Saccharomyces cerevisiae S288C: one gene and its partners. Changing the gene in region 4 together with the main gene of any one other region gives a genetic interaction. Each region holds a gene or a part of one and is shown on either strand. Other genes may lie near its edges.

Region 1 (6,925 bases), on a different chromosome or scaffold from region 4:
AGATAGACGTCCTGACCGCAAATAGGGCCAAAGTCCAACAGTTTAGCTCAACTTCGCATGTGGATGACGAGGACGTGAACTCCATAGCAGTGGCCAAAACAGATGGACTCAATCAACTATACAACCTCGTTGCCCAGGACTACGCTCTCACGGACACCATTGAGTGCTTATCTAGGATGCTGCACCGTGGCACCATTCCCCTCGATACTTTTGTCAAGCAAGGTCGTGAATTAGCACGCCAGCAATTCCTTGTGCGATGGCACATCCAACGAATCACCTCACCGTTATCGTGACTCACTTTCTTTCGCATCGCCGAAGTGCCATAAAAAATATTTTTTTAACCTTTACCTAACAAGAACGGGGAATGGTATATATGGAAGTACATAGTTCGTATATACAGAATCTTTAGAACATCTGAGCTCACTAACCCAGTCTTTCTAATGCTGAGATCGTTATTGCAAAGCGGCCACCGCAGGGTGGTTGCTTCTTCATGTGCTACCATGGTGCGTTGCAGTTCCTCGTCGACCTCCGCGTTGGCGTACAAGCAGATGCACAGACACGCAACAAGACCTCCCTTGCCCACACTAGACACTCCTTCCTGGAATGCCAACAGTGCCGTTTCATCCATCATTTACGAAACACCAGCGCCTTCTCGTCAACCAAGAAAACAGCATGTCTTGAACTGTTTGGTGCAAAACGAACCCGGTGTCTTGTCCAGAGTCTCGGGTACGTTAGCTGCCAGAGGCTTTAACATCGATTCGTTGGTCGTGTGCAACACCGAGGTCAAAGACCTAAGTAGAATGACCATTGTTTTGCAAGGGCAAGATGGCGTAGTCGAACAAGCACGCAGACAAATCGAAGACTTGGTCCCCGTCTACGCCGTCCTAGACTATACCAATTCTGAGATCATCAAAAGAGAGCTAGTGATGGCCAGAATCTCTCTATTGGGTACTGAATACTTCGAAGACCTACTATTGCACCACCACACTTCCACCAATGCTGGCGCCGCTGACTCCCAAGAATTGGTCGCCGAAATCAGAGAAAAGCAATTCCACCCTGCCAACTTGCCCGCCAGTGAGGTATTAAGGTTGAAGCACGAGCATTTGAACGATATCACCAACTTGACCAACAACTTTGGAGGTCGTGTCGTCGACATCAGCGAAACAAGCTGTATTGTGGAGTTGTCTGCAAAACCCACACGTATCTCTGCCTTCTTGAAGTTGGTCGAGCCATTCGGTGTCCTAGAGTGTGCAAGAAGCGGTATGATGGCATTGCCAAGAACTCCTTTGAAGACAAGCACCGAGGAAGCTGCCGACGAAGACGAAAAGATCAGCGAAATCGTCGACATTTCCCAACTACCACCTGGTTAGGTTAGTCTCTCGGCCTTGCGATCGCCCTCGGGACTCTCCTCTATACATCTATATAACGTATCTATAACCATGAGCCTATTTACTCATAAGTTGCTATGATTGTACGTTTGTACGAGGTGACGCGTTACTAAACTATTTTTTTCTTTTGGTTTTCTGCTTTCCTCTTCGATTTTGCCAGATACGAAAAAGGTTAAAGACACAATACCTTGGTGGCTTCTCTAAGTGGGGGGAGTTTTTCACAGCAAAACACACGGTCACCTTTCTTATTATGGACGGATATTGGGATGTTGTAGTGTCGTCCTTGCAAGACATATACAATGCCAACGAGGTCATTCCCTTTGATGATGAGCTGCAAACAAAAAAACTAAATTTCCTTAATATGTCAAAGGATCAGCTGCAATTGCATCTCAACACTTTCCAAGAACACATGGAAAACGTCAACAGAGTGCACCGAATCCTTGACAATGTACGTTCCAATTTGTCGTTGATGTTGAATCAGTCACGAGAGGAAAAGAGTGAGGAAAATACTGAAGATGCAGAAGAAGGAGAAGGGACACGCATGGCATTGTCGCAGGGCAAGAAAGCTGTGGGGAAAGTTGGCAGATCGTACTGGACCAGCGAATACAACCCAAATGCACCTATTTTGGTGGGCTCAGAGGTTGCCTATAAGCCCAGAAGGGGCAGTGCCGACGGCGAATGGATACAGTGTGAAGTACTCAAAGTCGTAGCAGATGGTACACGATTTGAAGTGAGAGATCCTGAACCTGATGAATTGGGCAACTCAGGCAAGGTGTATAAATGTAATCGGAAAGAACTACTGTTGATCCCGCCAGGCTTTCCCACTAAGAACTACCCGCCAGGTACTAAGGTTCTGGCAAGATATCCTGAAACGACCACTTTTTATCCTGCAATTGTCATCGGAACCAAGAGGGACGGCACTTGCAGGCTTCGATTTGATGGTGAAGAGGAAGTGGACAAAGAGACGGAAGTGACTCGCCGTCTAGTGCTGCCTTCGCCAACGGCTTTGGCAAACCTAGCAAGGAAATAGCAATGGTGGTTAACATTTACTACATATCATAAGATCTTCTCATGGCATTTTGTCATTATTTTGGTATCGTCGGAAGTGATGTATTCACTTGAAGGTGAAAAAAATTGAAAAAAAATGAAAGCTTGGATGAAATCAATTATATTGAGGATTTCCCATTAGAAATAAGCTATGGGCGAAAAGGAAACAAACATCAGCTGGATTTTTTCGCCAAGATGGAGAGAGAGCTAGGGATGTATGGAAATGATAGGAGTAGATCAAGATCACCTGTACGTCGTCGTTTGAGCGACGACAGAGACAGGTACGATGATTATAACGATAGTAGCAGTAATAATGGTAATGGCAGTCGTCGTCAGAGACGCGACCGAGGCTCCCGTTTCAATGATCGGTACGATCAGAGTTATGGTGGCAGCCGCTACCACGATGATAGGAACTGGCCCCCTCGCCGAGGAGGCCGTGGCAGAGGAGGAAGCAGATCATTCAGAGGGGGACGCGGTGGCGGTAGGGGTCGTACTTTAGGTCCAATTGTTGAAAGAGACTTAGAAAGGCAATTTGACGCGACCAAGAGAAATTTTGAAAATAGTATCTTCGTGAGAAACTTGACTTTTGATTGTACCCCTGAAGACCTTAAGGAATTGTTTGGTACAGTGGGCGAAGTTGTGGAGGCTGACATTATCACATCAAAGGGCCATCACCGTGGTATGGGGACTGTGGAATTTACCAAAAACGAATCTGTCCAAGATGCCATATCGAAGTTTGATGGTGCCCTCTTTATGGACCGGAAACTAATGGTAAGACAGGATAATCCTCCTCCTGAAGCTGCCAAGGAATTTTCTAAGAAAGCTACTAGGGAAGAAATAGATAATGGGTTTGAAGTGTTCATCATCAATTTACCGTACTCTATGAATTGGCAATCCTTAAAAGATATGTTTAAAGAATGTGGTCATGTCTTGCGTGCCGATGTAGAATTGGATTTCAACGGATTTTCAAGAGGATTCGGTTCTGTCATTTATCCTACTGAGGATGAAATGATTAGAGCTATCGATACATTCAACGGCATGGAAGTAGAAGGTAGAGTTTTGGAAGTTAGAGAAGGGCGTTTCAACAAGAGAAAGAACAATGATCGTTATAATCAAAGGCGTGAGGACCTTGAAGATACCAGAGGTACTGAACCAGGTCTTGCGCAGGATGCCGCTGTCCACATTGATGAAACTGCAGCAAAATTTACTGAAGGTGTCAATCCAGGAGGGGATAGAAACTGTTTCATTTATTGTAGTAATTTACCATTCTCAACAGCAAGAAGCGATTTATTCGACTTGTTTGGGCCTATCGGCAAAATCAATAACGCGGAATTGAAACCACAGGAAAATGGTCAACCAACTGGTGTTGCTGTTGTAGAATATGAAAATTTAGTAGATGCAGATTTTTGTATTCAAAAATTAAATAATTATAATTATGGTGGTTGTAGTTTACAGATCTCTTATGCTAGACGTGATTAATTCCTAAGCACCAACCGAACCATGACCTGTGTACTTTATGATAACGTATAAATAATAAGGAAGCGGGCGGGTTATAAATAACTTTAATAGTTATATTTATCATTTTGACCAAAAAGAATAACCTTATTTAATCCCTGTAAAAGAGCACCACTTCCAGCGATGAGATGCGAAAAGCGAAGAAAAAAAAAAAAAAAAAAAGGGTATTCTAAACTGAATATATAAAAACTGCCACCAATTAAGAGAAGAAAAGCTACACAATTAATTTCCAAAAATTGCAAATACGAGTATGAAGAGTTTGTTCTATCTCAAATTGCTCCTCTGGGTTGTGCTATTGTCTTTATGCCTTCTTATGGCACACCGGAAAACCAAAGTTGGTATGTATATTTAAGCATTTGAAAATGCAAAGTGCAAACCGTATCTAAATACTAACAGCTGTAATAGCCGACAAATTTCGTGCACTGCGTTCAAGAATACAATTACGTTTTAATAGACATATACGTTTAAATGATTCCTTTGCTGATGACCTAGAAAACGGTCTCCATTCCAGGAATTTCGATATTATCTCGGAGAATAGCAACGACGTAAGAGGTGGTTTGGATGATGTCTCCAAGAATGAGATTAAACAAATTATGGAAAACGATAATGTAGATTTCGATAAGGCTAGACTATTATATATGGAAAGAAAGTTCGGCCAAAATGGTATTGCCCCCGATGGAACCCCTATTGATCCAAAAGCATTCACCTTTGATAGTAGGTAAAGGTATCTAATATATTCAGTTTTACTTAAGTGGGAGGTTTTTCCCCCTTTTTCTTATTTGTCCATATTTTATGTAAATGTATACATTGCATTAAATTAAAAAGAAAAAAAAAATCAATAAAACACTCAATAAAATTTCAGTTTCTCTGGGCCACCAACAGCGCAGTTCTGTTTCCCATCTTCATCTTCATCGTCACTCAACGCAACAAAATCTTTTAAGTACGCGTACGAAGCATCTTTAGTTAACAGCATATTTGTCATATTACCGATAGATCCCTCTCCAGTATATTTGTATTTTCTACTGTCGTTGTTTTTCAAAGGAACAGTATTACGCTCTGGCGTCAATGCTTTAGTTCTCCTACTTAGATCAGCAAAGTCAATTTTGCTAGGGGAAACCCAAATGGGCTCGTCTTTTTGTTTCTTTCGAAGGAACCCCTCTTTCTCATGCTTTGTGCTACTCTGAGGCAAAACATAGATTAATGGTCCACTAGGAGACTCTTGAACTTTCTGAGCATTTCCTAACACGGTTTTATTCGAACTTAAGTCGGATGATATTTTCATATTGTCAGTACTCATGGAGGTATTTCCAAATGCTATATTAAATGAACTGAATTCTAAATCATCTAACAGTTCGGTAGGTTTTTGATCAATATTACCGCTACTCAACTTATCGTCTGTGCTCTTGTTATTTGAAGTTGTAACGTTAATACTTCGCGGAGTATTTGGAAGTTCTTCCACCGGAAATTCAGCAGTGGGTTCCTCTGCTGGAGTATAGAATCTGTCATCCGGAATTTCATCTTGGGATGGAAATTTTAATTCCATCAGCCTTTTGTCAGGTTCATCATTGTTGTGAGTATCATAAGTGAACGAAATATCAGATGGAGAGCCATTTTCATATTTTCTAGTGTCTTCAAAAGTCCTTCCGATAATTCTCACAGGCGATGTTCTAATAACTTTGAATGCTGGGGGCTTCTCGATTTTTGGAATAGAATTGGATGGATTATTATTACCGACATCTTCATTACCGGTTTTGCTGCCCTTCAATTCTTCCTTAAGTTCTTCTTCAATTTCGAAGAATTTGTCATCACTTTTTTCAATACCCGAGTCATCTAGATGCGCCTTAGGCAAATAAGTTGGGATAGGTTGCTGCATTTCATACTCAATCACTTCAGAAATTTGAGTCATTCTTTCCGCCTTGGCATCATCCTGACTTTTATTTATAATTGCCGCATCTTCCTCAGTATTGACTTTTAGTCCCTCACTTAAGGAGACTTGACTAGCCAAGCGTTTCCAGTTATAATGGGCATCATGCTTATCTAAAACCACCCTCATTCCTTGAAAGAGCTCAATATAGGATGGTGACCTTTGAAAGTTAATTTTTGAAGCTGGCGGCGCTAACCTAGGAATAGTGGGGAATATTTCTTTCCGTTCAGTTATTCCTTCAACAAAATTTTTTGGTTTAGTTATTTCTTTCGCTGTTTCTTTATCACTGTAATCATCTCCTAATTTTATGTCCTTTGCGTCCTTCCCTTCATTGTTGGTATCTTTTAATTCATTAGAATTTTCTGTCAGCACTTTACTCGCTTGTGGAGAGAGTTTCTGCGTCAATGTAGATGCATCTTCATTAGTTTTGAGAGATATGTTAGTGTTTTCATTTGATACGCCCTTTTCTTGGGGCACCTTTCCCTCTGGAAACAAATTACTCGAGCTGTTAATGTTCTCCTGTTTATTACGGTAATGCTTAGGAATAAAATCACCAAAGAGGTCATCGTTAAAAACTCTACTTTCATTCTGTCTGTGTTCATCGTCATCACTTAAGTTTTCAACATCAGCTGCACGTAAAAATTCGCTTTGGGTATCAATACGTTGGTCCCCAGCCGATGTTGTAGAAACCCTATTTGCTGTAGTCACCTCAGCAAGGTCTGGCAGCTCTTTATTTCCATGAACTGATGACGAATTCGTCGCCTTCCCAATTATTTGATCATCTGTTTCTGCATCAAGTTTTTCAGGATAAGAAGACGCAGATACCTCTACATCTGCAAAATTGGAAATGTTATCCTGCTTTGTGGATTGATCCGCTTTTGGTTCGACATTTTTTTCGTTACTGGTATTTTCTGTCACAGGCTGAGAGGGATTGTAGGAGACATATTTTGTATCCCTTACTACTGAAGATATTCTGGTATTTTCTTGAGGATGTGCGCCATTTCCAACATCAGGTGGTTTTCCGATCAAGTCATCAGATTTGAATTCAACT
Region 2 (7,882 bases), on a different chromosome or scaffold from region 4:
AGGTTTTAGCGGTAACAGTTATATAAATCGTGTTTCTTCTCTTGATGAAACAAAAAAATGCTAGAAAAACTTTGTCGTTTCTTACTTTTGGTGCGCTTTGCAGTTTTCGTGGCTAGACTTAGAATCATTTCTCCTCAGATTTCTTGATTAAAGTTTGGTGCGAAGCCCTACTCTAACATTGGTGTTCTTCTTTTCATTCACGCAAGTTAAGTCCAGGAAGGTGAGCAAATGCTCATCCTTCTGTTCATGCGTGACGGCTGAATTATCCTTATCTGGCGTACCCGTGCAGCCGTTTCCGTGCCTCGGTTCCTCCGAGATATCCTTAGGGACCGCCAGGGACCATGATTGCGTCAACTGTTGTCACCGCTCCAGAGGATCCTCTGTAACCTTTTCAACCATAAAAATAGAAAGGGCACAGGGTTGGGGTATTTGAATTTTTTTTTTGGGTTTTTTCGTATTACTTATTACTTACCTTCTTTTCTATATAATTTTGTTTTTCCCTGGTAGAGCGGAATCTTCCCACTAAATTTTTAGCAGAGAATCCTCGGGTTTGTAAACCATGTTATAGTTAAACCCCGATATTACACCATTAAAATCATTTCTAAATATGCGGTCGTCGATGATCAGCTGCAGGGAAATGCCAAAATATGGACCCCATAGAGGTCTTGGCTTGTTCATATCGTTGGGTCGATTTCTGTTCCCAGTGTTATTTGGTTGAATGGGAACAGTCGCGTCTTGCCCCATCTTGTCTCTGCCGCTTTCGTCGAATCTGACTTTGCAATTGACGTTGCATATCAACGTGCCGGATCCCGGAATAGCGTGATAGTCTACTCCTGTTAGGGCATGTTGTGTTTGTACGACCTGGTTTTGCCACATTTGCAGAAAAACTGTTGCTTGCGCGAAGGGGGTAGCATTAAATATTATTCTGCAGTTGTTTGGATTAAAAAGCTGTACGAATTGGGCCAATTTGTTGGAGTCCGGATCATCCAAATGCGCTAATATCTTCTTCGTAAATGTGGCCGTTATTTGTGCTTGATTTGCGTCATTCATTACCATAGTATTACTATTGGTGTTCATATTTCTGTTATTACTGTTATTAGTTTGGCGTTTTGCCTGACGATCAGCCTGGTGGGGCCAAGTATATACTATAAAAACAGGTTAGTTACTTGCTCTATGCGTTTGCGCATCCTCTTTTTACTTTTTTTTTTTCAGTAAAGCCTAAGCATAAATCGTTTTATACGTACGACACGTTCAACTTTTCTTGGTTAGTAGTGGCAATCTCTGCAATACATACAGGGAGTCATGGTCTATCATCTTGTCCAATCAAAGAAGCATCGGTTCAGATCGAGCAAACTGTAGGGAGAAAGGAAAGTAGAAATGCAGAGTGTGCTATATGTCCAATCTCGGTTTTGTAGTTTGGATGTCATTAGAGATCTACCACCCAACCGGCTGCTTTCATGTGGAACAGAAAAGAAATCGGGGCGCTTCCTCTTCTGTATTCCTTTAATTAACGTTTTTATTCAGCCATCTAACCATCATACCCCCATACGGTAACAAAACCTCTTCTAAGAAAAGAAGTCTCTGCTCCTCCGCCATCTTATTTTTATTCGCTGCGCGCGTTTATTGTCGCATCGCTAGCCAGCAAAAAGTTGGTTGCCTTTTTTTACCTAAAAAAGACACATCTAACTGATTAGTTTTCCGTTTTAGGATATTGACGCCAAGCGTGCGTCTGATTTCTACGATATGTCTCTAATTTTGGAAGGGCCATTTTATTTTTGAGGATTGGGCTGATCATTTTCCTTACGTGGATTGAGCCAGCAATACAGATCATTATTAAACTGTTTTGTACATGATGTTAGTATATAATCGTAAAGCTTTTCTAATATGTATACCTTATACATGGAACTCCACAGAACTTGCAAACATACCAAAAATCCTTTATTCTTGTTCACTCATTTTACATCAAAAAATAATATTTCAGTTATTAAGGAAAATAAAAAAATAGATTAGAGAAGCATTTTGAAGAAATAGTATATTCTTTTATTGAACCTAAGAGCGTGATATTTTTACTCGAAATAAAATACGAAAAATCTATACACTCATCTTTCCGACTACTATTGGCTCCTGCTCAAAAAAAGAGGGAAAAAAAGCTCCAAAATTCTATCTTTTCCTATCGCTCCTGTCCTATCCTTATTACGTTCATTACTATTTTAATACTATCCATTCTTTTATTTTCAGTCTAAAAAAAACATTTCTCATAACGGGAAAAGCAAAAAAATGTCAAGCTTATACATCAAAACACCACTGCATGCATTATCTGCTGGTCCGGATTCTCATGCAAATAGCTCCTATTATGACAATCTTTTATTGCCTTCATTTTCCAATTTATCCAGTAATATCAGCAGGAACAATATCACAACCGATAACAATATAAATTCAGCAAGTCCTAGGAAGTATTCGTTTCATTCGCTCAATGTGTCGCCAATTCTTTCCCCAATATCTTTGGCTAACGAAATACTTGGAAAAAAATCAAATACTGCACCAGCATCGCCACATCATATGGATTACAATCCAATTTCCTCATTAACACCAGGCAATTCACCAGAATTCAACAAGGCAAGCTTATCTCAGATTAGTTTTACAAATCCATTGAACTATGGGTCTGGCTTAGGTTTTTCCTCTAATTCACAACCTCGACTACCATTGTTAGACAGGCTATCGTCCGTCTCTTTATCTAAGAGACCGGAGCGCCCACAACAAAGCCTACCATCACTAAGGCATCTGCAATTATTACCCAGTCCTCTTTTACAAGAAAACGCAGCACGCTTCCCTGATACATCAAAACGTACATCTAATTGGAAAACTGATCTTACCCATTGGTGTAAGGATACAAACTATCAAGACTATGTTAAAATACGCGAAGAAGTGGCTCATTTCAAGCCATTAAGTATACCCAACTTAACTAATAATCAAAATAATGATAGTTTCAATTACGGCAAGGAATTGGAATCGACTAGGTCGTCCAAGTTCCATTCCCCGTCTAAGGAATCATTTGATCGTACCAAACTAATTCCTTCGATTCTAGAAGCTAAAGATCAATTTAAAGATCTTTCCAACAATGCATGGAGTATTACTCCTCCCGTCACACCGCCGATGAGTCCACCAACCAATAGAACCATGGAGCGCACGACGCTTAGAGGAGTAGAGGCCTCTTTTTTTGAGGGGAAATCCAGCAATAACGATTCAATATTCAATCCAATTATTAGTGAAAAATTGGTTCAAGAAGTTAAACATCAAAGACAATTACGTGGAAATTCATTTCCCATGCCAAATGCCAGTCACAAAAAGACGAACAGTTTCAAAGCTTTGCAAATAAAAAAATTGCTTGCGAATAGAGACATTCTATCGAACAATTCCAAATCTAATGTAAGGAAACCATCTAAGAACAAAATCTCAAAGCAAGCATCAAATGTTTTCGGTAACACTGCAAGACAATTGGTGATGAAACTCGACAACGCTAGTTACAGTTCTGTCTCTGCATCTTCATCTCCATCTCCCTCCACACCGACGAAAAGTGGCAAGATGAGATCAAGATCATCCTCACCTGTGCGTCCCAAGGCATACACTCCAAGCCCAAGGTCACCCAATTATCATAGATTTGCTCTCGACTCTCCCCCTCAAAGCCCTCGAAGATCATCAAATTCAAGCATAACGAAAAAGGGAAGTAGAAGGTCCAGTGGCTCATCACCCACTCGTCACACCACAAGAGTGTGCGTGTCGTGTCATTCGAGTGATTCGCCCTGTTGGAGGCCATCGTGGTCGCCAAGAAAGCAAGATCAGCTATGTAACTCTTGTGGTCTTCGATATAAAAAAACACATACAAGATGTTTGAACGATTTATGTCGTAAGATCCCCACAAAGGGTGAAATAAACATTATGAAATCCAATGGAATAGACAAAGAATTCGTCCCCGAACGCAACTGCGAAATTGAAGGGTACCGTTGCTTATTTTGTAATTACATAACTGAGACAGTAGAGAATTGATACATGGATAACTGAATCTCTTTCAACTAATAAGAGACATTATCACGAAACAATTGTACATTTCTCTCCTTGTCTGTGCTAAATAAACTACAAATAAAAATTCATTTTCTTTCATTTTCATTCGACACGCCGCGGCATCTTCGTTTTCTTCACCGATTAATTTTAATCTGCGCCGTGCAGATATTTTCGCCCATTTCGAAGTGAAATCATTCTAATAACTTCTCCTGCGCAATAGATTGGTCATCCTGATTTTTATTCTGAAATCGAAAATGAAAAGCATTTATTGCACTGAAATAGCGGAACCTGCTTCTAATAAGCTTAAAATTCAATCATAATAGTGTAGTTAATAGAAAGGACAGAAGAACTTTTCGTTCCTTGGTTTATCATCCAGGTTTCAGCACGGCTTTTGTTTCAAGTTTAAGTAGGTAAGATTTTTTGATTGTTCTACAACTTTTTCATAGTAATCAAAACCTTTGAATTTCAAACTTACTATGTCTAGTACTCAAGTAGGAAATGCTCTATCTAGTTCCACTACTACTTTAGTGGACTTGTCTAATTCTACGGTTACCCAAAAGAAGCAATATTATAAAGATGGCGAGACGCTGCACAATCTTTTGCTTGAACTAAAGAATAACCAAGATTTGGAACTTTTACCGCATGAACAAGCGCATCCTAAAATATTTCAAGCGCTCAAGGCTCGTATTGGTAGAATTAATAATGAAACGTGCGACCCCGGTGAGGAGAACTCGTTTTTCATATGCGATTTGGGAGAAGTCAAGAGATTATTCAACAACTGGGTGAAGGAGCTTCCTAGAATTAAGCCATTTTATGCCGTCAAATGTAATCCTGATACCAAGGTTTTGTCATTATTAGCAGAGTTGGGCGTTAATTTCGATTGCGCTTCCAAAGTGGAAATTGACAGAGTATTATCGATGAACATCTCGCCGGATAGAATTGTTTACGCTAATCCTTGTAAAGTAGCATCTTTCATTAGATATGCAGCTTCAAAAAATGTAATGAAGTCTACTTTTGACAATGTAGAAGAATTGCATAAAATCAAAAAGTTTCATCCTGAGTCTCAGTTGTTATTAAGAATCGCTACCGATGACTCTACCGCTCAATGTCGACTTTCCACCAAATATGGCTGTGAAATGGAAAACGTAGACGTTTTATTAAAGGCTATAAAGGAACTAGGTTTAAACCTGGCTGGTGTTTCTTTCCACGTCGGTTCAGGCGCTTCTGATTTTACAAGCTTATACAAAGCCGTTAGAGATGCAAGAACGGTATTTGACAAAGCTGCTAACGAATACGGGTTGCCCCCTTTGAAGATTTTGGATGTAGGTGGTGGATTTCAATTTGAATCCTTCAAAGAATCAACTGCTGTTTTGCGTCTAGCGCTAGAGGAATTTTTCCCTGTAGGTTGTGGTGTTGATATAATTGCAGAGCCTGGCAGATACTTTGTAGCTACAGCGTTCACTTTGGCATCTCATGTGATTGCGAAGAGAAAACTGTCTGAGAATGAAGCAATGATTTACACTAACGATGGTGTATACGGGAACATGAATTGTATTTTATTCGATCATCAAGAGCCCCATCCAAGAACCCTTTATCATAATTTGGAATTTCATTACGACGATTTTGAATCCACTACTGCGGTCCTCGACTCTATCAACAAAACAAGATCTGAGTATCCATATAAAGTTTCCATCTGGGGACCCACATGTGATGGTTTGGATTGTATTGCCAAAGAGTATTACATGAAGCATGATGTTATAGTCGGTGATTGGTTTTATTTTCCTGCCCTGGGTGCCTACACATCATCGGCGGCTACTCAATTCAACGGCTTTGAGCAGACTGCGGATATAGTATACATAGACTCTGAACTCGATTGAAGGATATATTTAACCACGACTTTCGCAAGAGAGACGGAGGGGGTGGGAAAAGGCTGAATGCAACCATTGTCACTAAGAATTTGAGTGTTCATGAACGAGTTATACACGCTATTTAAGAGTCAGAGAATGATGATTCAAGAAAATTCTGGCATTTTTCCTGTCCACCACTGTACGCCATTGTACACAAAAGTATTTTTTTATATTTTTTTTACAATTTTTTATAATTTTTTTTTATGTTTAGTGTATATTTGCTAGAAAGAAACAAGATCTTTTTTGGTAGTGTAAATGCTTAAACTTTGTCTCTTTTTCCTTTTTACTTTGGAAAAATGCCGACGCAAGAACATAGACATCTGCGAAAACCAAAAATAAAGTACCAATTGTACATACAAAAACAGAGAAAAAGTTCATGAACAGAACGTTACTACGGTATAGCAAGATCTTTGAATACATCCATTACTTCGGATTGTTCACCATACTTCAACACAGGCCAAGATAGACCATAGCTACAGTGATAGACGAATATTTATTTCAAAAGAAGCATCAACCATAAAATAAAAAGAAAAATGATGAAAAAAAAACCAAAGTGCCAAATTGCAAGGACCAAACCATCGGTCGAAAACGTCATACCATATAACCAATTCAAGAAGACGCAGCCGCGATTCAACGGCAACTTTTCTGCACTGAATAATGAAGAATACATAATACTCTTTGGCGGAGGTCGGGACCTGATACTAGGCTCCCTGACACCTTGTTCGAGCTCTCATTTGTCCAATCAAGCCAACCCACAAGACACCAGTGAGTATGGCACAGACCTGTTTATACTCAACAGCTGCATTATCATTTGGTTCAATGGCTTGGGATATGGGCTGGAAATTCCCTACAGCAGCGTTTTGTACCATGCATCAAGACGGCTACCAGATGGTAGGGAAGGGCTTCAATTAGAAATTTTGCTGACTTTGGAAAGAGACGAAGTGTTGGACATGCTCTACCAAAGCCTCGCGCCACAGGCCTGCGAATTCGACGGCGAAGAAGCACATGCCTTCACCGTGCGCAGCGTGGAATTGACTATCAGGCCCAAATATTCAATATACGATCGCCATTATAACAACGAAATCGAAACCCTTTTCACCTTCGAAAACTTCGGCGTGAACAGGGGCGATGACCTGGTAAACAATTGTAACGAAGCACTAGCCGTATGCATGGACCTGCACGGTGAGGACGTACAAGATCAAGACCAGGAACAATACCAAGATCCAAGCATGGCGTTTGAGGGTGCGCAAGATCTCAACGCCACGTATTCTGGGCTTGGAGACACCCTTCACGGGCCGCCCGTGTATCAGAACGACGGGCTGGCAGACGATCTGGATGGCGACCTCGTTATGGACAACGTGGTCTCTAGGGGTGGTCCAGAAGCAAGTATGTCTATGGAGTTCTACGCAAATCAAAATCTTGCTGGCAGAAAGAACTCCAGAGACAATGAATGAACAACATCTATTATGGGAACATCCCGCTGTACTATGCGGTCTCGTCCTCTACGAATATGGCTATTTGCCTTCGTATATACCTTTCTATACCAAGTAATGAATGTCTTGAGGGCCCGTATGGCCGCGCGAAGGCTTAGTTAAGATGTTTCAGCAAACGGCAGCATGTGAAAAAACCCGTAGAAGGTCCGCATCAGCCTTCCATGCCCGTGCACCCACGGCTCCTCGGAGGCCGGGTTATAGCAGCGTCTGCTCCGCATCACGATACACGAGGTGCAGGCACGGTTCACTACTCCCCTGGCCTCCAACAAACGACGGCCAAAAACTTCACATGCCGCCCAGCCAAGCATAATTACGCAACAGCGATCTTTCCGTCGCACAAGTTAAAAGAAATTGTTGAAAAATACAAATAATCGCGAACAATACGTTGTTGCTATTTAACGCTTTTGGTCTGACAGTAAGTGT
Region 3 (7,699 bases), on a different chromosome or scaffold from region 4:
AAGAATGTGGGAGATCCATAAAGGTATAAGAGTTGGGGAAAATGGGCCCGTTGTTGGAGGTAGGACCTCCACTGTTACTTAAGTTGTTTAATCTTTGCTGAAATTCCTTCTTGATGACAGATTCCCTTCTTGAGTTGGTATTAGAAGTAGAAGCAGTGTTACTGCCGCTATTGTTGACATTGAATATGTTTGACACGGAATTTGGTGCAAGAATCATTGAAGACCGTCTTGAAGTGTTGTTACTTGAAACATTAAACGATGATCTTCTGGACCAATTCGCAAGCGAGCCCCTTCTTGACTTTGAGCTTAGTAAGACATGCGAAGAGTTTGGAGAAGACGGAGTAGTGGTTATTGCTACCTGTTGTGGATAGGCAAACGAACTTCTTCTGGATCTAACGAATACTTTAGGAATGAATCCATACTTCTCCTCATCATTAGACCGAACGATGGGGTCTTGGTTCAAAGAATTGGTGAAGGAGTGAGAGTTTGACCTTGGCTTTAGAGTCTTATGATGGGGATGGTGGTGTAGGTGTTGATGAGGATGATGAGGGAGTGCGGCCGGCAGCGTGGGAGGAGCGAACGGCATGGAAGAAGCAGCGTTTGAGACAATCGTAGTGGGAGTCACATTGGACGGAGATTGAGAAAATGACATCGATGCGTGAAACGAAGGCAACGAGGTCTTTCTGGAGGGAATCGGGATGGATGACGTTGTAGTGAACTCAGCAGTATCTTCCGTTAATACGTTTTCTTCTACCTTCTTGCTGGGCTTTTGCTGAGCGTTGGCAGTCTCATCGCCGTGGGTGATCTTGAGTGGGCCCGTATAGGTGTTGATGTCGATCAAAGCAGTCTTGTTCGACTTCAAGTTACCAGACTTCAACCTTCTCCATCTGAACTGACACGCGTTAGGAGTCCTGTTTGGGAAGTATTGCGAAATATCCTTCCAGCCCATTTTCTTGACCTCCTTTAAATGACGTAGCAGCAGATCATCTTGAGGGTCCCAAGAGGAAGGGTTCTTGCTCGAATTCTTGGAAGACGCAGATGCCGATGCCGAAGTCGACGATGAAGAGGAAGCTGGCAGAGAGGGCGAAGATTCCTGGGCTTCGTTCTTGGACATAGCTGTTGACGACGAGTGTGGCTGACGAGTGAGTGAGTGTAGCTGAGGATGGGTGTCCATGCTGCTCAAATGAATGGAAGCTGAGTTCAAACTGGTTGAAATGGACATCACGGAGCAGAGAAGGGAGGGAAGACTGGAACGTGCACGGAAGCTATTCGATGAGGTCGGATGAACTGACTGTGAAAAGGAGGAAACACGGATAAATATACTACAAAAGAGAGAAAAAATACAACAAGATACCAAACAGGACGAAAGAGAGAAGAAATAGAGAAGATGCAAAGAAAAGAACACTTTTCAAAACCTGTCCCTGTTTTTGTTGTACTCGGTTTTTTTCCTTTTTAAACTGTGTGCACTTTCTGATTCCGTCTTGTCGAGGCTGTCGGAGAAAAGAGTAGCACACACGACGATAACAATAGATACGGTAGATTGGATGGGGCACAGATGTGCAAGGCAATGCGCGAATCCTGTCTACGATGTCTGTACCGTCCATCCTTTCTCCTTTGCATCGGAAACATCCGCGCTGTCTACCTTAGGAGGACCTCATGGGACGGGCGCTGGGGACTCGTGCCCATCCGGGACTGGGGGTGAGATTTCACAACGGGGCCGCTGCTGGTCTCACCCTCTGGCCGGGCCGGTCCGTTTTTGTGGCGTCGCTGCAGGTAAACGCGCAGTTTCTGCGCGTTTACCCCTGAGGTGAATACCATCTTCAAGCGTCAAACTGCATCCGGATATCCTGCTGTTGGTAGCGATGGTGGTGGTAGTGGTGTATGCTCTTGGTTCTGGTGGTGTCTTGCGTCTTCTCTTCTCTTTCTGTTCGTTCGGTTCGTATATAGGTATGTATATATAATGAAGGATGGAAGATCCTTCATTGCAAGTGGGAACGGCCGGCCTTGTGGTCAGTGTTACTGTCATTCTCGGGATGGGAGGAAGCCGGGTCATGGCCCATGGTTTGGAGCAGTTGGGCCAAGGCAGACTGGGGAAGAGTGTAGGTGACTTTGTTCCCGTTGCTGTCTGTCTTCACTCCTCCTGTAGCACCAAGTAGCGCCTCCAAGGATGCTAGATCAATGGGGCCGGAGGTCTTGCTCTTGGATTGGCTGGAAGGGTCAAGATTTTCTGCATCTGTGTCAGCGTCCGTGTCGTCTATGTCCATTGGATCGTCGTTATCGGCGGCAGTCACCGAGGCCACAGCGGCTTCGTGGTCGCGAGTGAATTTGTCCTGAGGTTTCTTCGTAGTGATAGCGAACACCTGTTCGTCGTTACATTTGGAAAAATCGTAGTAACTAAACACCCTTCTTCTCTTGTCTGCAAAAGAACGCACTGATGTGCGGTGGGCCTTGGACTTCATACGGTCGCTCCATTGAGCGACGTCTTCACCTTCTTTCAGCAGCGCGACAACCACTATACTCATGTTGTCGCATCCAATACCCGTCCCCTCTGTGGTGGGAGCACAACAGACATCGATGATCCGCGAAGAAATTTCATTCAATGTCTTGCCTTCGCGAAGGCCGAGATGAACCAAGTCCACACAATCTTGGGAAGTCAAACAATCCCAGATACCATCACAGGCTAAGATTACAAACTCGTCCCTATCGTAATCTAGAGAATGCTCGAGAATGTCCGGAACACATGTCACTATTTGCTCCTCGGGGCCCAATTTGGGGTTGGATTTGAACTCAAAATCACCAATGGCACGAGAGAGCGCCAAGTTACCGTTGACCCTATCCATTTCTACGAAGCCATCAGCTGCCACAATACGTGATTTTTCGCTTGCTAGAGTGGGCTTGTGATCGTATGATAATGCCTTTGCGTTCCCGTCGGTGGCGAGTACGGTTCTACTGTCACCAGCGTTACCACATACTAACAAGTTCTGGGACTTTGATACTAATATGGATGTAGCCGTACATCCGCTATGGTCTTCTTTCATCACAGGATCTTGTAACAGTTTCACGTCTGTGTTTATGAAAGTATCAATCAAAGCCCTTGGTAAATTTCCTTCATGGAACGATTTCTGCTCTTGCAGGATCTCCACTATTTTATTACCACAGTATTCTGCTACTTTAGCGCCACCATGACCATCGAATATACCGTAAAATGCAATATGGTCCTTATCGGACTTTGTCAAAACATTAGGCTCTAGAATGTGTGAATCCTCCATTGACATCCGCCACCCTTGCATTGCACACAGTCCAAACGCGGTCAAGGAGTCAGCACCGGAGTGGCTCTCTTTATCAATTACCGGGTTTGATAGAATTTGTCCCATTTTTCTTTTTCTGGTTCTCTATATTTTATACAACAATGGAATAGTCAAAATCCTAGGGATGTTATTAATCGGAAAACTACTATCTCGAACGAATAGTTATAATTAATCAATGAAAAAAAAAAAGAGAAAGTAAAAAATGTTACAACAACTAATATACACTAATTGTCCTTGATAACAGAACTTGTTGTAGTTTTATTCCGTGGGGAGGAGGGTGAATTTTTTTTATTTAGTTTTAAAGAACAAAACAGAAGTCTATATACTTAGCACTATAATATCCAGTTTCAATTTGCTCTGTCAGAATCCGAATTGGCTGGTTTTCTTTGTTTTACCATCCCCTTCCATTTATCAGCATGATATTTTTTTTTTTAGAATAATCCTTTCAATCGTTGAAGTAGTTTGTGGGAAAAAAAAAGTTGTTAAAGGCATTAACGTACACAGTGATTTGCTGACTCATTACGATTTTTCACTCATCGAAGTATTGTTAGATTTTGATATATTAACATGACTAAAGGGCTATGGTCCATCGTAGCAGAAGGCAATCATCACTTTAAAACCGAGGCCACAATCGATAATTAGCACTGATATTCTGATTGGAAAAAAGGCAAAAAATGACCGCTTCCATCAAAATTCAACCGGATATTGACTCTCTAAAGCAATTACAGCAGCAAAATGACGATAGTTCCATAAATATGTATCCCGTGTATGCGTATTTGCCATCATTGGATCTGACTCCTCACGTGGCATATCTAAAATTGGCACAATTGAACAACCCTGATAGAAAGGAATCATTTCTGTTGGAAAGTGCTAAGACAAATAATGAATTAGATCGTTATTCATTCATAGGTATCTCGCCACGCAAGACCATCAAAACCGGTCCTACTGAAGGCATTGAAACAGATCCTTTGGAAATTTTGGAAAAGGAGATGTCTACCTTTAAAGTAGCCGAAAATGTTCCTGGTTTACCGAAATTAAGTGGTGGTGCTATTGGTTATATTTCTTATGACTGTGTTCGTTATTTCGAGCCAAAAACAAGAAGGCCTTTGAAAGATGTCCTAAGACTTCCAGAGGCATATTTAATGCTTTGTGATACCATTATTGCCTTTGATAATGTTTTTCAGAGATTTCAAATCATTCATAACATTAATACCAATGAAACTTCGTTGGAGGAAGGTTACCAAGCTGCAGCACAAATAATCACTGATATCGTATCAAAGCTAACCGACGATTCCTCGCCAATACCATATCCAGAACAACCTCCTATTAAATTGAATCAAACTTTTGAATCGAATGTGGGCAAGGAAGGTTACGAAAATCACGTCTCCACTTTGAAGAAGCATATTAAGAAAGGTGATATTATTCAAGGTGTGCCATCGCAAAGAGTGGCAAGGCCAACTTCGTTACATCCTTTCAATATTTACAGACATTTACGTACAGTGAACCCATCTCCTTACCTGTTTTATATTGATTGTTTGGATTTCCAAATCATTGGTGCATCTCCAGAATTGTTGTGCAAATCGGATTCCAAAAATAGAGTCATTACCCATCCAATTGCTGGTACTGTCAAACGTGGGGCTACTACTGAAGAGGATGATGCTTTAGCGGACCAATTACGTGGCTCGTTAAAAGACCGTGCAGAACATGTTATGCTGGTAGATTTAGCAAGAAACGATATTAACAGAATTTGTGACCCATTAACAACAAGTGTCGATAAACTGTTAACTATTCAAAAATTTTCTCATGTCCAACATCTGGTTTCTCAAGTCAGCGGTGTTCTCCGCCCAGAAAAGACAAGATTTGATGCATTCAGATCGATTTTCCCTGCAGGTACTGTCAGTGGTGCTCCAAAGGTTAGAGCCATGGAATTGATTGCCGAACTAGAAGGAGAAAGGCGTGGGGTTTATGCAGGCGCCGTAGGTCATTGGTCATACGACGGTAAAACAATGGACAATTGTATCGCTTTAAGGACTATGGTCTATAAAGATGGCATTGCTTACTTGCAAGCTGGCGGTGGTATTGTTTACGATTCAGATGAGTACGATGAATATGTCGAAACCATGAATAAAATGATGGCCAATCACAGTACTATTGTGCAAGCAGAAGAATTGTGGGCCGATATCGTAGGATCAGCTTAAAAAGGGCATTCTCTGTTTTTTTCCCCTTAGACGACATTTTTATAGTTTTCGAATAATATGATATAATGATGTATAGCAGGATCCTGAAAAGTATTATTCTTTCGACATATACATTTGGTCCGACTTACAACCAAAAAATTTTTGTTCAAAAAATATAGGAAATTTTAGAAAACGAATGTTGAATGCGTTATAAATAATACAGAATGTACGTGTATATAAAAATATAATAAAAAAAATGCAAGAGTTATGGCTTTGTAATAAAATTGATATCAAAAAATTACCCAAATAAACTTTTAAATGTGAACACAAAAATTAAATCACCGATGTTGAATCCCAGAATAAAAAACAAAAAGTTCAGAAAATATCATTACTTTGCTTCCTTTTTAAAACCTTAATTCTTGTATTGTTCACGGAAGTACTTGGCGGCTTCGACCATATGAGTCAAAGACAATCTAGTTTCTTCCCAGCCTCTAGTCTTCAAACCACAATCTGGGTTAACCCAGAACTTTTCAGCTGGGTAGCTCTTCAAGATGGTTGAAATCTTGGCGATAAATTCATCCTTTGATGGAATTCTTGGAGAATGAATATCGAATAAACCTAGACCAATGTGGTTTGGATAGTTTTTGAATTCAGCAATGTAGTTAGCATCGTCCTTCTTAGAGAATTCGATGGAAACAACATCAGCATCCAAAGCCTTGATATGGTTTGGATCCAAGTCAGAGTAACAGAAATGAGAGTGTATTTGAGTCTTGTTAGCAACACCAGAAGTAGCAACTCTGAAAGCTTCGGCAGCCCAGGTGTAGTAAGCAGATCTCTCAGTACCTTCTCTCAATGGTAAACCTTCTCTTAAAGCTGGTTCATCAACTTGGATAACCTTGATACCGGCAGCTTCCAAATCATTGACTTCATCTCTCAAAGCCAAAGCTAATTGCATAGCTTGAGTTTTTTGGTCGACATCGTCTCTTGGGAAAGACCATCTCAAACAGGTAATTGGACCAGTCAACATACCCTTTACTGGCTTAGAAGTGATGGATTGAGCGTAAACAGATTCCTTGACGGACATAGCCTTTGGTCTGGACAAGTCACCAACAATAATTGGTGGTCTGACATATCTGGAACCGTAAGATTGAACCCAACCGTTAACAGTGAAAGCATAACCGTTGATTTGTTCACCGAAGTATTGAACCATATCGTTTCTTTCTGGTTCACCGTGGACTAAGACATCCAAACCAATTTCTTCTTGGAATCTGATGACCTTTTCAATTTCAGAATTGATGAATTTTTCATATTCTTCAGCAGAGATGGTGCCCTTGTTGAATTTGTTTCTGTTAATTCTGATGTCCTTGGTTTGAGGGAAGGAACCAATAGTTGTTGTTGGGAACAATGGCAAGTTGAAGACTTTTTGTTGTTCAGGCAATCTTTGTTCAAATGGAGCTGCTCTAGTAGACATTTTTTCGTCGATAGAGGCAACTCTGGCCTTAACGGCAGCATCGTGGATAAACTTGGATTTACCTCTGGATTCAACAGATTTAGCGTTAGCTTCTAGGGCAGCAGCAACGTCTTGACCGGAAACGTTCTTGGTGATCACAACAACTTCATCCAATTTTTGAGTGGCGAAAGAGAAAAAGCCCTTGATTTCAGCGTCCAACTTGGTTTCGTTGTTCAAATCAACTGGTGTGTGCAATAGAGAAGAAGAAGTGGCAACAACGACTCTGTCAGCACCCAACTTTTCAATAGCCTTGTTAACGATAGCGGAAGACTTCTTGAAATCATTCTTCCAAATGTTTCTACCATCAACAATACCAACGGACAAGGTTTGTTTGTTACCAATGGCGGCAACGACTTCATCAAATTGTTCTGGAGCTCTAACAAAGTCAACGTGTAAGGCAGCAACTGGCAAGCCCTTGATGGCGTCTAAGTTAGGGACAACGGTACCGAAGTAAGTAGCCAAAGTAATCTTTGGTAGATTGCTTTGTTCACCGAAGTAAGTGTAAGCCTTCTTAATGGCGGCTTGGGCGTTGGCAGGCAAGTCCAAAACTAAGACAGGTTCGTCAATTTGAACTTCAGTGGCACCAGCAGAAGCCAATTTAGATAGGATTTCAGTGTATAGAGGCAACAATTGTTCCAATAGGGACAATGGTTCCAAATCTAGAGAATCCTTGTCAGCCTTACCCAAGAATAAGTAAGAAACTG
Region 4 (8,249 bases):
TCATCAATCACTTTTAAAAGTTTTTGGACTAGATTCACAGCTCCTTTATGGGTGAATCCACCAAGAAGGACGTGAGAAAACTTTAACATCTGCTTGGTAAGGGCCTCATTTAGTTCTGGATTATTGTACCCGTGAATAACACACCACCACGACGACATGGCGTCGATCACCTCGACGTCCACTGGTGAGTCGGTATCCAACACCAGCTTGCATCCGTGAGCACTCTTTACCGGATAAACGTTCAATGGTGAACTCAATGACGTATAAGGATGCCAAATATGTTTTTTATCAAAGTCTAGCAGTTCCGCGACATCTGGTGTATATGAAATTTCTTGGGACATTAGTTGTTATCCTAGCAATAGAAAACGAATTGCGCTGTTGACATCCTCCCGACCAAAAGAAAATGAAATATACAAACAATGGCTATTTATAATTCAAAATTATTGGGCAAAACAAAATAAAATCCCGCTGGTAGTTCGTTTACTGAAGTATATAAAGAGATATACTTTTTTCCACAAGTAGGCCAGTGAAAAGAACTCAAAAAATCACTAGCGCACAGGTCATGAACAGCAAATCTCAACAACAAGAACAACAACCAATTGTATTCGTCACCGGTACAGACACTGATGTTGGTAAAACCTTTGTATCAACATTATTGGTACACAAATGGAAAGCTGCATACTGGAAACCCGTACAAACTGGAATTGAGTCAGATCAAGGTGACTCCGAGACATTGAAAAATTTCAAAATAGCCGCATCAACTTGGCAACCACCTATATTCACGCCCACTTATGCGCTGCAGAAGCCTCTATCTCCGCTCCAGGCCATGGAGTACGAACCTAATGTCGACATCAGGTTGTTGGATTTCGTAGTTCCTGAAGAGTGGAGCGCAGAGAATCCATTGGTCGTAGAAGGAGCCGGCGGGGTTTGCGTTCCTATCACTCGTAAATTGGAAATTACGACGGATCTAATTAAACATCTGATTGAGACTAGCGGCCATCCAGTGTACGTAGTTGTCGTGGCACGCAGCGGGCTAGGGACTCTGAATCATACATTGCTGACTTGGAATCATCTTTGCGATAATGGCTTGAGAAGCCACCTTTTTGGGGTCATTCTCAATGGGGAACCGAATGAAGGCAACGTGCAGGCCCTGAAGAAGTTCGGTGTCAATATTATGGCACAGGTTGCACAATGTACTACGGCACATGATCAGGATATGGAGTTGCATGAACTGCCATCGGTGGAGTCATTAATGACCCAACAAGACGTAGAATAGTTTAAATAAAAAAGTTGCAAGGCTTTCATCAGCTATATATAAGTAGCATGGTATGAACAGAGTAGGGGCAGTGTTCCTATTTGTATATGAAAGAAATTTTTTTTTGTCTATTGTTCCAGATCGTCACAGGACGGAAATAAGAATGTCTAGTTCAGAAAGGTCAGAAGTCAAGTTTGACAAGCACTTTAATTGGTGGTCCCTATTAGGTATCGCGTTCTCATTAAGTTGCTCATGGGTCGGTATCTCAGCGTCGATGGCCGTTGGTATTGCCAGTGGAGGGCCACTGCTTATCATCTATGGGTTGATAATTGCTGCTTTTTTCAGTCTCATGTGTGGTATATCTCTGGGAGATTTTGCTGCTATCCTGCCAAACAGCAGCGGTGGTTCATTTTGGGTTCTTAAAATGTTGGAACAAGAATCAGTCACTTTGAAAACCCCTGAGTACGAGGACCCTTCTGACGATGATGAAGAAGTGTTCCTCGAGAATTATTGTCAAACTTTCAACGTGGAAGTTTCTTCTAAATTTCAAAAGGTTTCTTCCATGGTTGTAGGGTTGCTGAACTATTTCGGTGCCATTTTTACTACCGCAAGTATCTGCTCATCTTTGTCAATGAGCTGTATCGGTATTCATAAGTTGTTGCATCCGGACTACGAGTTAAAGCACTGGCATGTTTTTGTGGGTTACGAGTGTATCAATGCCGTTTTGACACTTTTCAACATTTATTCAACTCCGTTGCCCTATATCTCTCAGTTTGGGCTCTATACGTCTCTATTGTCTTTCGCCATGACTTTCATTATTTGTATTGTTTCAAGATCTGACAACACCGTAGACCCATGGCCCAAAGCTTCTAATATATTTGGGAGCTTTGATAATCAAACAGGCTGGAATTCGTCTGGAATGGCGTTTGTTGTCGGTTTGGTCAATCCGATCTGGGCATTTGTTGGCATTGACTCTGCTACGCACATGATTGATGAAGTGGGTTATAGTAAGTCACGTTTCTTAGTTCCCAAAGTTATTATCACTACCATCATTGTGGGCTTTGTAACTAGTTTTATTTATTGCGTTGGTTTGTTTTTCTGCATCACTGACCAAACGGCAGTCGTTGAGTCTATTTTACCTATCGTAGAAATATTTTACCAGGCCACTGGTAATAGGAATCTCAGTGTCTTCCTGCAATGTATGTGTATCACAACAGGTTTTGTTTCAGGCATTGCAAGTGGAACCTGGCAAAGTCGAATCCTCCAATCATTCGGGAAAAGTTACGCACCATTTTATAAAGAGGGTTCCTTGGGAAACAAATCCTTGAAGAAGCTAGCAGTGTTGACACCTGGGTTTAAGTCTCCATTATATGCCCATTTTTTGTCACAAATATGTGTAACGATAATTGGCTGTATATTTATGGGATCTAGTACCGCTTTCAACGCAATTATCACTGCATGCATCACCCTGTTACTAATGTCGTACGCAGTTCCTTCTTTTATATTCCTGTTCGTTATTAAAAAGGAAAAATTCATTCATAGAATCGAGAGTGACGTAAATTGTGTCAGCAGGCCTAACCGTCGTCGTATGTCTATGATTCCTCATATTATATGTATTCTATGGACCTTGTTCTGCCTGGTATTTTTATCTTTCCCATATACACTACCGGTTACTGCAGGAAACATGAATTACACCTCAGTAGTGTATGCAGTAGTTTTCTGCATTATCAGCATCGTTGTTTTCCCTACATGCATCTAAGATGCTGTTGAAAGAAAAACAGTCCTTATAAATTCCTAGGTCGATACTACCTTTTGTAGCTCTATCGTCAGAACTTCTGCCCTCCTGTATCATAGTTTCATAAAATAATTGTATATTTATTACCAGAAGTACCCTTGTATTACAAAACTAATCGCACACCACAAAGAGTAAAAGTAGGTACCATAGCAGCAGCGCTTAACCTATTCTCCGTCAGTATGAATGAAATATGTGGATTTCGATTACGATTCATTATAAGATCAGAACACATAAAGCCATTTTACTGAGCTATCTCAACTGCACAAACCATAACAAGTAAAAACTAGCTAGTGTAATTAGGAGATTATCGAAAGTCCTGGTCAAGCAGCAAGTTGGGCGAAAGTGTATTTTTGGTCCTTAAATAGTCCCGATTATGGGAAAATTACAAGTCATGACAAAATTTATTTTATAGGTGCACAAAATAGTCTGTAGATATTTTAATATCAAAAGAAAAAAGACGTATTCGCATGATAGTATATACCAAAGAAGAACGATTCAGAGAATGAATGTGGACAAGTTTTTTTGAGGAAAATGAAAACTAGAAAATCAAGGATATTGAGTACTTAGTCATTTTTTTCATTTTTTTCTTCGAGAAAATTTCTTTTTCATTACTTACTTATTTTTGCCAAGACATTTTTTTATCTTTTAAAATATATTCAAATAGTTCTTCTCTGAACAGAATTTTTCTCTCTTATGATGTACAATTACTTTCTTAAGTCACATATAATACCACACAATGCAAAAATTTCATGCATCAGCTCTCTAAGCTTTGAGAAATGTGTAGTTTGACGTTTACATCAAGGCCTGGTTGTGTCATATGAAATTCTACGGATATTTTTAGGGAGCTTTCGCCTAGCGAGAACAAAAGCATAACAAAAAAAGTTGCAGTTGATGAAAATTTTCTTTTTAGGATAAAGTTATTTTCCAGACAGAAAATTAAACTAAAGACCTCGCCGTTAACAAACCATAGTAGTTTAGACTATTTCCTAACCTTTCTATAGATTCATTTAATTGTCTATTGTCTTCAATCTAAACGATAAAGATAAATACGCAGTCGAATAAGAAAGAATTATCTGTATCAGTCTCTGAGGTAATATTTACTGAACCTCCTCTGCAAAAATAAAACAAGCCCATTTTGTTGTCGAAAGCGCTAGCATCCTTAATTTTACGATACTATTTCATGCTATTACTACCAAGTTGACATCCCTTATTATCTTATTTATTTGAAACTAGAAGAATAGCAAGTAAACACTAAATCCGAAAGAATCGAAGTATCATATTACAATCTACAGGATATAACAAAACAGCTTCGCAACTTTTGCATTTCTAACGAATATAAAGAAAAGAACTACTATAGAAGAAAGTTTGCGAGTGTGAATCTTAAATTTTTAACAGATGGACAAATATACCAACAGGGATCATCCGGACTATATTCCTGGCACATTTAACATCTATTCTTCCCAAAATTTGGAAAATGGTATTATATACGAATCAAAATTGAAGAAAACCTCCTCAGGAGTCGTCCTAATCCCTCAACCATCATACTCGCCAAATGATCCACTGAACTGGTCTAGCTGGAGGAAATTGGCTCATTTTGGTCTAATGGCCTTTATAACTGCGTTTACCGCCGCTACTAGTAACGACGCTGGTGCTGCTCAAGACTCATTGAATGAGATTTATGGGATATCCTACGATTCCATGAACACAGGGGCTGGTGTTCTTTTCCTAGGTATTGGTTGGTCCACTTTATTCTTGGCTCCATTTGCTAACTTGTATGGCAGGAAGATTACGTACATAGTTTGCACCACATTAGGTCTCTTTGGTGCGCTTTGGTTTGCTTTGGCCAAAAGAACGAGCGACACAATATGGTCTCAGTTGTTTGTAGGTATTAGTGAGTCCTGTGCTGAAGCCCAGGTGCAACTGTCCCTGAGCGACATTTTTTTCCAGCACCAATTGGGCTCCGTATTGACCGTGTATATCATGTGCACTAGTATCGGTACGTTCTTGGGCCCATTGATCGCTGGGTACATATCTGCATTTACCAACTTCCGTTGGGTCGGTTGGGTCGCAGTGATCATATCTGGTGGCCTTTTAATAACTATTATATTTGGCTGCGAAGAAACGTACTTCGACAGAGGCCAGTATATGACCCCTTTGACCAGCTGTCAATCGGGATACGAAGACGGTACCACTTTACAAAACTCTGACAATACGGCCGTGTCGCGCAGGAAACGTCATCTTGACGCTAAATTATCAACTCCTGGAGCCATGGGTGAGAAAGGTGTAGACCTTTCAGAGACGGCTGAATTCGAAGTTAACAATGAAGAGGAAGTTACCATACCTGAGACTCGCGAATTGATTGATGGTTCAAAAGAGCATTTGAAACCATACCCAAAAAGAGTAGCAATATTAACCAAAGCTACTAATTTGAAAGGCTACGGTTTTAAACAGTATTTCAAATATCTAAAGATCAACCTTAGAATGTTCTTATTCCCGCCAGTGTGGTTGTCTGGTATGTTTTGGGGTATTCAAGACGTTTTCCTGACGTTTTATTTGACCACTCAAGAAAGCGCCTACTACGAACCTCCATGGAACTATAGTGATTTTGGTGTCGCAATTATGAATGTTCCCACACTTATTGGAGCAGTCATCGGTTGTATCTGTGCTGGCATTGTTAGTGACTACTTTGTTCTTTGGATGGCTCGTCACAATAGAGGAATTTTAGAGGCAGAATTTAGACTATACTTCTCTATCGCAACTGCAATTATTGGGCCAGCGGGTTTGCTGATGTTTGGTATCGGTACCGCTAGACAATGGCCTTGGCAAGCTATATACGTCGGGTTGGGTTTTGTTGGGTTTGCATGGGGTTGTTCTGGTGATATTGCGATGGCGTATTTAATGGATTGTTACCCCGATATGGTTTTGGAAGGTATGGTTTGTACTGCTATTATTAACAACACGATATCTTGCATTTTCACCTTTACCTGTTCTGATTGGCTAGCTGCATCTGGTACTGAAAATACTTACATTGCTTTAGCTGTCATCAACTTTGGGATTACTGCATTTGCTTTACCAATGTACTACTATGGTAAGAGGATAAGACTTTGGACTAAGAGATGGTATTTGCAATCTGTCAATTTGAGAGACGGTGTGTAATTCAGAGACGTCTTTCTTGTATCTAGTAGATGATAGGAATTAAGTATTTTTTTTTTACCTAACTAGGATTATAATTGCAACAACAAAAGCGCCCTTCGTGAAACACGTGGGATACCGGTTAGGTAATATTACAGTTTCCTTACACACTTACTAAATACGCAACAGAGCATGTTATTAATCGTATATTTAAGTAATAATAACGTATTGACCATTCCTAAGACTGAAGCAGTACCAAGAAATGGCACTTTTTGTTTATATGACATAGTAAAAGTGTTCATTTGGCAGAAAACAAGGGTATCTGGATACTGCAATCCTCATTAGTTGCGGAGAGCTTTTTTAAAGTTTTATTACTTCGATAATGCTTTCCTCCAGAACTGGGCGCGCACTGAAGCCATAAACTGAGTGGTTGTCCCTGTGTATATTCTACAATCGCCTATTTGAAACTTCTGGGTGATAATATCGATTTAGCGATTGGGTTTCTCCCTTCTGAGATTCTGGATAAATGAGATGCTACCCTCACAGTAAAAACAGTACAAAACCTTTGTATAGTTCTAGTCAAATATGAACTCCTTCATTCATGGATTGTATACTATTGTTCTTGTTGAAAGATTCCTCTTGTGATTTTCATGGTGATTTTAAGCCTTTTTTATTGAAAGAATTAAATATTCACTAGGCTGCGATACGATAGACAAACGAAGTGATTGAAACCCGAATTAACGGATATGGCGATTATGTGTGTTTATGATCCCAATATTTGATTGTCGGAAAAAATTAATCATCTATTGGTGTGTACTCATACTACTTGTATCATATACAGTGTAAAATGACGACATAATTGATGGGAAACAGTTATCAAAGTTATTGGATGTTGAATTGCAAGAATTGATGAAGTAATAGGATAAGGAATGACAACGTATAAAATTGAAGGAGAAATAAAAATATATATTATATAGAAGTATCGGGCCCCTTTCGTAGATTCCTATATCCTACAGGATAACTTTTGGTACATTCTGTAGACCTAAGTTCATAGCTTTTATAAACAATTAATCCCAAAAAATGTCTCTTTTGATGATTAGATGTTAAAAGGTGATATTACTGACTACTTGTTCGAAGTGCCTACGCAACACTTTAGCTGCTTTTTTTAAGCAGCGGCAGATGAGGATTTAAATAACGCATAACCAAGAATATACCTAATGAAGTGAAGGTATACAGGCTGTTCTATGGACTTGAATAATACTGGCTACCCTGGCGTCCTAATGTCGTTAAGAAAGTAACTTGATATCAGATTAATCACAAACTTGGTCCACAAAATACCACTTATCTCATATAATCTAAATCTGACTAAAGGGTGTAGGCACGGAACTTCGGACCTAGAGGTATTGCTCAATATGTATATTTCTCAATGGTTCATCTAGGTAAGCAAGGCCTTGAATAATATACTTAATCTTGTCTGTTTCGCAACAATTGCTGAGTACAATAATGTTGGAATAAAAATCAACTATCATCTACTAACTAGTATTTACGTTACTAGTATATTATCATATACGGTGTTAGAAGATGACGCAAATGATGAGAAATAGTCATCTAAATTAGTGGAAGCTGAAACGCAAGGATTGATAATGTAATAGGATCAATGAATATTAACATATAAAATGATGATAATAATATTTATAGAATTGTGTAGAATTGCAGATTCCCTTTTATGGATTCCTAAATCCTCGAGGAGAACTTCTAGTATATCTACATACCTAATATTATAGCCTTAATCACAATGGAATCCCAACAATTATCTCAAAACTCACCCACTCTTCAAATAATGATGTGGTATACTACCTGAAATACGATAAAAAGTGTTGTATTACGGGCTCGAGTAATACCGGAGTGTCTTGACAATCCTAATATAAACAGTCTTAGGGAAGTAACCAGTTGTCAAAACAGTTTATCAGATTAATTCACGGAATGTTACTTATCTTATATATTATATAAAATATGAATCATGCTAAGTGGTGGAAGCGCGGAATCTCGGATCTAAACTAATTGTTC

Evidence for each region.
Region 1: mutations in HOL1 (region 4) and SGF29 together harm fitness more than expected from each alone (negative genetic interaction), as found in Saccharomyces cerevisiae (2 studies listed by BioGRID).
Region 2: mutations in HOL1 (region 4) and SPE1 together harm fitness more than expected from each alone (negative genetic interaction), as found in Saccharomyces cerevisiae (3 studies listed by BioGRID, with this or other methods).
Region 3: mutations in HOL1 (region 4) and PTC2 together harm fitness more than expected from each alone (negative genetic interaction), as found in Saccharomyces cerevisiae (2 studies listed by BioGRID).

Annotation. Positions count from the first base shown.
Region 1 is NC_001135.5:99,064-105,988, reverse strand, and holds SGF29 (Sgf29p), read left to right. Parts: upstream 1-1,638; coding exon 1,639-2,418; downstream 2,419-6,925. Other genes in the region: ubiquitin-binding ESCRT-I subunit protein STP22, read left to right, coding at 1-293; ILV6 (acetolactate synthase regulatory subunit), read left to right, coding at 441-1,370; GBP2 (single-stranded telomeric DNA-binding/mRNA-binding protein), read left to right, coding at 2,631-3,914; YCL012C (uncharacterized protein), read left to right, coding at 4,201-4,288, 4,356-4,672; BUD3 (Bud3p), read right to left, coding at 4,798-6,925. UniProt on the Saccharomyces cerevisiae protein: Chromatin reader component of the transcription coactivator SAGA complex. SAGA acts as a general cofactor required for essentially all RNA polymerase II transcription.
Region 2 is NC_001143.9:92,222-100,103, forward strand, and holds SPE1 (ornithine decarboxylase SPE1), read left to right. Parts: upstream 1-4,535; coding exon 4,536-5,936; downstream 5,937-7,882. Other genes in the region: MTR2 (Mtr2p), read right to left, coding at 523-1,077; DNA-binding transcription repressor ASH1, read left to right, coding at 2,278-4,044; YKL183C-A (uncharacterized protein), read right to left, coding at 6,174-6,386; LOT5 (Lot5p), read left to right, coding at 6,500-7,420. UniProt on the Saccharomyces cerevisiae protein: Catalyzes the first and rate-limiting step of polyamine biosynthesis that converts ornithine into putrescine, which is the precursor for the polyamines, spermidine and spermine.
Region 3 is NC_001137.3:333,967-341,665, forward strand, and holds PTC2 (type 2C protein phosphatase PTC2), read right to left. Parts: upstream 3,375-7,699; coding exon 1,980-3,374; downstream 1-1,979. Other genes in the region: DOT6 (Dot6p), read right to left, coding at 1-1,222; anthranilate synthase TRP2, read left to right, coding at 3,983-5,506; MET6 (5-methyltetrahydropteroyltriglutamate-homocysteine S-methyltransferase), read right to left, coding at 5,898-7,699. UniProt on the Saccharomyces cerevisiae protein: Dephosphorylating regulator for many key proteins. Dephosphorylates the cell cycle master regulator CDC28/cyclin-dependent kinase 1; its activity appears redundant with phosphatase PTC3.
Region 4 is NC_001146.8:726,383-734,631, reverse strand, and holds HOL1 (Hol1p), read left to right. Parts: upstream 1-4,445; coding exon 4,446-6,206; downstream 6,207-8,249. Other genes in the region: BIO3 (adenosylmethionine-8-amino-7-oxononanoate transaminase), read right to left, coding at 1-341; BIO4 (dethiobiotin synthase), read left to right, coding at 563-1,276; BIO5 (Bio5p), read left to right, coding at 1,329-3,014. UniProt on the Saccharomyces cerevisiae protein: Seems to be involved in the uptake of several cations and of histidinol.